Callithrix jacchus: one gene and its partner. The protein of the gene in region 2 binds, or shares a complex with, the protein of the main gene of each other region. Links are inferred from orthologs where the notes say so. Each region holds a gene or a part of one and is shown on either strand. Other genes may lie near its edges.

Region 1 (3,519 bases), on a different chromosome or scaffold from region 2:
CAAAGGTACCTGTTCTTTTGTTTTTCTGGGCTCTCATAATAAAATAGGTAACAATTGGCAAGGTGTAAAATCCATTGTAGGGAATCCCTTCTTGTTTTCAGCTTGGTGTTTAATTTTATTATATAAGTAATTTTTTAAAGTTTGAAAGAAATGCATACTTATTTGTAGTAAATTGATAAAATAAAGTATAAATTACAAAATGCAAATATCGAATCTTTTTTTTTTTTTTTCCTCGAGACAGTCTCTCTCTGTAGCCCAGTAGTGTAGTGTAGTGGAGTGTAGTGGCTCATCTTGGCTCACTGCAACCTAACCTCCACCTCCTAGGTTCAAGTGATTCTCCTGCCTCAGCCTCCCTAATAGCTGGGATTATAGGGTTGTGCCACTGCACCCGGCTAATTTTTTGTAGTTTTATTAGAGATGGGGTTTCACCATGTTGGCCAGGCTGGTCTTGAACTCCTGACTTCAGGTAATCCTCCCGCCTTGGCCTCCCAGAGTGCTGGGATTATAGGCATGAGCCCCAGTACCTGGCTGAAAATATGGAATCTTATTACTCATGAGCATTTTGGTATATTCTCTTCTCTCATTTTTTTCTTCTACATTTCTTAAGTCACAATTGTACCATACATATAATTTTATATCCTGCTGTTTCAGCACAAAACTTGCTCATTTAAAAAAAAAGAAAACTTTTAAAGCCTAATTCTAACAGTACATAGTATGTAGATTGTATGCTAATACTATCCCCTATGTGTGTTTGCATTCCTAGTGTTTTGGTGTTGTAAGTAATACAGCAGAGCATGTCTTAGAACATAAGGCTTCATCTGCATTTTGGATGTTTCCATTAGAGGGATGTTCAGGGATGAGATGATTGAGTCAAAGGAATGAACATTTCTAAGGCTCCTACATTGTCAAATTGCTTTACAGAAGGTAGCACCGGTTTCTGTTTCTACTAGCAGTCCATAGGAGTGTGGGTCTCAGCATATCCTTGCCAGCATTGAATGTGATCACTTAAAATATATATGCTGATTGGGTAGGCAAAAAGTGAGATATCATTTGGATATGGGGCCTTCTTGCAGGGAGACTTTTGTTGACATTCTTCCTCTTTCTCTTCCTCTGAACTTTCAGGAAAACTACCAAAGAGAGCCTGGCCCAGACATCCAGTGCCATCACTGAGAGCCTCATGGGGATCAGCAGGATGATGGCCCAGCAGGTCCAGCAGAGCGAGGAGGCCATGCAGTCTCTAGGTAAAGCTGGGCCCAGAGTAGGAAGCGTCTCCCAGAGACACTGCTCTAGCGCCCTAGCCCTGGCATCTCCACCCTGGGCTCCTCCACCACGGCCCACACGAAGTTCACTGACTTGGGGGGCTTCTTCCTCGTGAGATGACTTGACACCTTGGTCTTATCCATAGTGGGGATATGCTGCTCTTATTTCCCTTTACTAGGAGACCCCACACCCCCATCAGTGTTTCCCCAGGGCGGGCATTCCCAGGGTCTCAAGTGTAAAGCAGAGGTCCCCAGGCCCTTTCCTAGAGAAGGTGTTGGCAGAGGTGGGTGAGGGGCCTGGGAGTCTCATTTACAGCCAGGGCTCTGGGTACCCATATGGCCAGGCAAATTTGGGAATCGTTGCTCCACGGGATGTTTAGTGAATTGGCTGATGGTAAGACTGCTAGGACCTTAGTTTACAATTATACTCCCCAATGTTATTTTTCCTATGAGTTCTTTTTAAAAGATGAGAGTCAAAGGCTGCAGGAGAGATTGCTTGAGACCATCTGGTTCCCTCCAGTAGTTTTCCCAGAGTGGCTCCTCTGTGACACAGAAGAGTATCAGCCCTCTCCAGGGTCCTTCAGTATGAGACAACAGAAAAAGAGGGTTTACTCTTTGAAATGCTTTTGGAACATTGCACACATGGACAAAAGTAGAAAGCATGGTATCCTGAATCATCTGAGCCCTGAGCCCATTACCCCAGCCAGACTCGTTTCAATTCTACCCTCAGCCCATCTCCTATCTGAATTATTTTGAAGCAAATTCCAGACATTGTCCATAAATATCTCAGTACATCTCTGTAGAGGATGAGGGGCTCTGGGGAAAAAGCAGAAACAACCCCAGAACCACAATACCATTATCACCTCTAGAAATTATCTTTAATTTTGAACCACTTTTTTTCAGTGCAGCAAACAGGCAGAAGCAAAAGGAAAGCAAGCAGGTGATCCCATGGTCACTCTTTGTGTTTACAACTTACCTGAACATTTCAGCTTAGAACCAGCCAGGGGCCTTCTCTCAGCGTGTCCTGTGGGAGAGGCGTTGGAGAGAGAGGGAGCAAAGAGACAACTCAGCCTCTGAGTCCAGGGCATTTATGCTCTGGTGTGGTGAGAGGATACCCCCTCACTAACAGTGGGAAGGAGACACAAATGCTGGTGGTTTCTGGGGTGTTGAGAGGGTCCCAGTGTTCTTGGGGCCCATTTTATAGAAGTAATAGCTATTGAAAAAAAGGGAAGAATACAGTTCTCAACCCCCTCCTTATCCCTCATAAATTCAGCTTGATTTAAAAGCCTACTAGGACCATAATTGTGAAACAAAAATCTTATTAGGAATATGGTATCTGGAATTTGCTGCACAGTTGTAGGAGTAGGGGAGATGGGGTAAGGGGGAACAGGATTTCAGAGGTTGGTGGTTCTTGGTTATGGGTGGTAGACATATGACATTTCATGATACTATGCTGTCTGCTTTGTGATGGTTCAAAATTCTCCATAATGGTAAAGTTTATAAAGAAAGACCTGTTAGGTTTTTACTTAGCAAGTTCTTAGGGTTTTGAAATGGCAGCAGGCAGGCGTGGAGAAAGAGTGGAGAGGGATTCCCGTTCTGTGAGTGTTTGCTTTTCTCCTTTTATCTGTCATTTTCAAAATGCTGCTGTGTTTCCTCTGATAATTTATCTTATTTACTTATTAGCTTTTAATTTGTTAAAAGGTAACACATACAACATAGAGAAGGATAAAAAACTCTAGCCCAGCACTGCCAGTAGAAACATAACAGGAGCCACATATGTTAACTTTAAATTTTCTAGTAGGCACATTTTAAAAAGTAAAAAGAAACATAAAACATTAATTTTAATAAGATAGTTTATTTAGCTCATTATGTAAACTATTACAGTTTCAATGTACAACTAATATTAAAAATTATTGAGATATTTTACCTTCCTTTTTTTCCATATTAAGTCTTTGAAACATTGTGTGGATTTTGGCCAGGCAAGGTGGCTCACGCCTGTAATCCCAGCACTTTGGGAGGCCAAGGTGGGTGGCTCACTTGAGGTCAGGAGTTTGAGACCAGCCTGGCCAACATGGTGAAACCCTGTCTGTACTAAAAATACAAAAAAAAAAAAAAAAAAAAAAAAATTAGCCAGGCATGATGGCACGTGCCTGTAATCCTTACTCAGGAGGCTGAGGCAGGAGAATCGTTTGAACCCAGGAGGTGGAGATTGCAATGAGCCAAGATCACACCACTGCACTCCACCCTGGGTGACAGAGTG
Region 2 (3,519 bases):
TCAGCCTAGCAATTTCCTTGACCCTCCACTCTCCTACCCAACACCTGCCTTTAGAAGATGCCATCACAAGCTGGGCACGGTGGCTCATGCCTGTAATCCTAACACTTTGGGAGGCTGAGGCAGGGGAATCACCTGAGGTCAGGAGTTCAATACCAGCCTGACCAATATGGTGAAACCCTGTCTTTATTAAAAAGAAAAAAAAAAAAGAAGAAGATGCCATCACAATCAGAGTAAGTAGCCTTACCTCCTGGGGCTTCCCATTTTACCTGTGACTTACCCAGGTGGTTAGGGGCAAGGGGCAGGGCTGACACAGGTGCCCGGGAGAACTGCTCTCTCCGGCTCCTCTGCTGCTTCAGGTTCTGGGATTGGGGAAAAATGCAAAGGACCTGAAGCCGCTAGAAAGCAGGCATGTTAAGGAGATTCCCACTGTTGGCCCATGACCCTGTAGGACTTGTCCCTTCCCCATTTCCCTCCTGGATCCTTACCCCCATATTCTTATCCCTCCTATGCAGATTGTTCTCACCTCTGTCCTCACTTCTAAAACCGATTTGAAGTCATTGGACATAGAAGCCAGTTTCGACTAGAAGAAAAGGAGAGAGGGTCAACCAAAGACTCCACATTCCTCCCCTTTCCCTCCCTCCCTTCCTCCCCAGGTCCCACCTGCAAGGACACCACAATGGTGTTGGAATGGGTCTGCAGGTGCCGGCCACTCTGGCTGCCCTTGGCCCTCACGAAATCTTGGAGCTGAGCAATCTGTTTGTTGAGGCTATTGATGTCCTGGTAAAAGAGCCCACGGAAAAATCAAGTATTAGCCAAGGAGTCCTCAGTCAGCTTCTCTCCCCATGGCCATCTCTGGTAGGAAGGGCAAGGTGGAAGTTACTAACTAAAGTGAGAATATCCCAGACAGTCAGACCAGATGGGCCTACTAGAATTTTCCAAAGTCTAGTATATGCTCTAGCTCAGTCCCTGCAGAGAAGAGCTAGAAAGAGGCAAAGAGGGCTTCATCTATTTGTAAATGACTTGTTTATTCCTCCAGCCTACTGCCCTGGCTCCACTCTGTGAGGCCATGCTCTTGGCTACAGAACTCTTTCAAAGGCCAAAATCTTGGGTCTAGAGCATAACCAACAAAGCACCTGGACAATCCTTAGGAAAAAGGAATAGCCAAAGGCACTGTAGTTTCCAGAGGCATCAACAGAATTGTTTTTATAGACATAATTCCTTGGTGGCTGACACCTGTAATACCAGCACTTTGGGAGGCTAAAGTGGGCAAATCATGAGGTCAAGAGATCGAGACCATCCTGGCCAACACAGTGAAACCCCGTCTCTACTAAAAATACAAAAAAATAGCTGGGTGTGATGGTGCACACCTGTATTCTCAGCTACTTGGGAGACTGAGGCAGCAGAATCACTTGAACCCAGAAGGCGGAGGTTGCAGTGAGCTGAGATTGTGCCACTGCACTCCAGCCTGGTGAGAGAGCGAGACTGTGTCTTAAATAAAAAAAAAGTGCCGGGCGCGGTGGCTCATGGGTATAATCCCAGCACTTTGGGAGGCCAAGGCGGGTGGATCACGAGGTCAAGAGATTGAGACCATCTTGGTCAACATGGTGAAACCCCGTCTCTACTAAAGATACAAAAAATTAGCTGGGCATGGTGGCGCGTGCCTGTAATCCCAGCTACTCGGGAGGCTGAGGCAGGAGAATTGCCTGAACTCAGGAGGTGGAGGTTGCGGTGAGCCAGGATTGTGCCATTGCACTCCAGCCTGGGTAACAAGAGTGAAACTACGTCTCAAAAAAAAAAAAAAAAAAACAACTTTTTATTGGCCGGTGCAGTGGCTCATGTCTGTAATCCCAGCACTTTGGGAGGCCAAGGCAGGCAGATCACGTGAGGTTAGGAGTTTGAGACCAGCCTGACCAACATGGAGAAACCCCGTCTCTACTGAAAATACAAAAATTAGCCAGGCATGGTGGCATGTGCCTGTAATCCCAGCTATTCAGGAGGGTAAGGCAGGAGAATCACTTGAACCCAAGAGGCAGAGGTTGCAATGAGCTGAGATGGTGCCACTGCACTCCAGCCTGGGCAACAGGAGTGAAACTCCATCTCATTCATTCATTCATTCTTTCATTTATTTATTTATTTTAAAAGAAAGGGTTTCACCATCTTGGTCCGGCTGGTCTTGAACTCCCGACCTCAGGTGATCTGCCCGCCTTGGCCTCCAAAGTGCTTGGATTACAGGCATGAGCCACCACGCCTGGCCAACTCCATCTCAAAATAAATACATTAATTAATTAAATTTAAAAATAAAAGTTGGCCAGGCATGGTGGCTTATGCCTATAATCCCAGCACTTTGGGAGGCTGAGGCGGGTGGATCACGAGGTCAAGAGATCGAGACCATCCTGGTCAACAAGGTGAAACCCCGTCTCTACTAAAAATATAAAAATTAGCTGGGCATGGTGGTGTGTGCCTGTAGTCCCAGGTACTCGGGAGGCTGAGGCAGGAGAATTGCTTGAACCCAGGAGGCGGAGGTTGCAGTGAGCCGAGATCGTGCCATTGCACTCCAATCTGGGTAACAACAGCAAAACTCCATCTCAAAAAATTAAAAAATTAAAAAAATAAAAATAAAAGTTATTATTACAGCTGAGTGCAGTGGCCCACACCTGTAATCCCAGTACTCTGGGAGGCTGAGGTGGGCAGATTACTTGAGGTCAGGAGTTTGAGACCAGCCTGGCCAACATGGTAAAACCCCATCTCTATCAAAGATTAAAAAATGAACCAGACATTGGTGGTGGGTGCCTGTAGTCCCAGTGACTAGGGAGGCAGGAGAATCACTTGAAGTCAGGAGGTGGAAGTTGCAGTGAGCCAAGATTGTGCCACTGCACTCTGGCCTGGGCAACAGAGGAAAACTTCGTTTCAAAAAATAAATAAATAATTTAAAAATAAAGTTAGCCAGTCGGGCGCAGTGGCTCACACCTGTAATCCCAGCACTCTGGGAGGGTGAGGCGGGCGGATCATGAGGTCAAGAGATCGAGACCACCCTGGCCAACATGGTGAAACTCCATCTCTACTAAAAATACAAAAAGTAGCCAGGTGTGGTGGCACGCCTGTGGTCTCAGCTACTTGGGAGACTGAGGCAGAAGAATCACTTGAACCCAGGAGGCGGAGGTTGTAGTGAGCCGAGACTGGGCCACTGCACTCCAGCCTGGTGACAGAGCAAGACTCCACCTCAAAAAAAAAATAAATACATAAATAAAGTTAGTCTTGGCTCTGAAAGAGTTGCTCCATAATGGCAGTGATTAAAAGAAAAAAATGAACCCTCACAAGAACCCTACGAGATAGGTACTGTTAATATTCCCTTCTTACTAATAAAGGAATTGAAGCTCAGAGTAATCAAGAGCTTCCCCAAGGACTCAACATAAGTGCTAGACCTGGGATATGAACTCAGGTCTGTCAATCCAGTAAGCTGGCTCTTAAATGCCTAGGCAATAACACCCCTAGTTAATGGAACCCTTTCTTTTCCATTAG

The links.
Region 1: STX5 (region 2) and BNIP1 share a complex: the UniProt entries of both Homo sapiens proteins name them as parts of the SNARE complex. The link is inferred for Callithrix jacchus from reciprocal best matches to the Homo sapiens genes STX5 and BNIP1.

Annotation. Positions count from the first base shown.
Region 1 is NC_133503.1:65,519,767-65,523,285, forward strand, and holds part of BNIP1 (vesicle transport protein SEC20), read left to right. Parts: coding exon 1-5; intron 6-1,122; coding exon 1,123-1,241; intron 1,242-3,519. UniProt on the Homo sapiens protein: As part of a SNARE complex may be involved in endoplasmic reticulum membranes fusion and be required for the maintenance of endoplasmic reticulum organization. Also plays a role in apoptosis.
Region 2 is NC_133511.1:120,104,860-120,108,378, forward strand, and holds part of STX5 (syntaxin-5), read right to left. Parts: intron 778-3,519; coding exon 661-777; intron 581-660; coding exon 524-580; intron 360-523; coding exon 278-359; intron 1-277. UniProt on the Homo sapiens protein: Mediates endoplasmic reticulum to Golgi transport.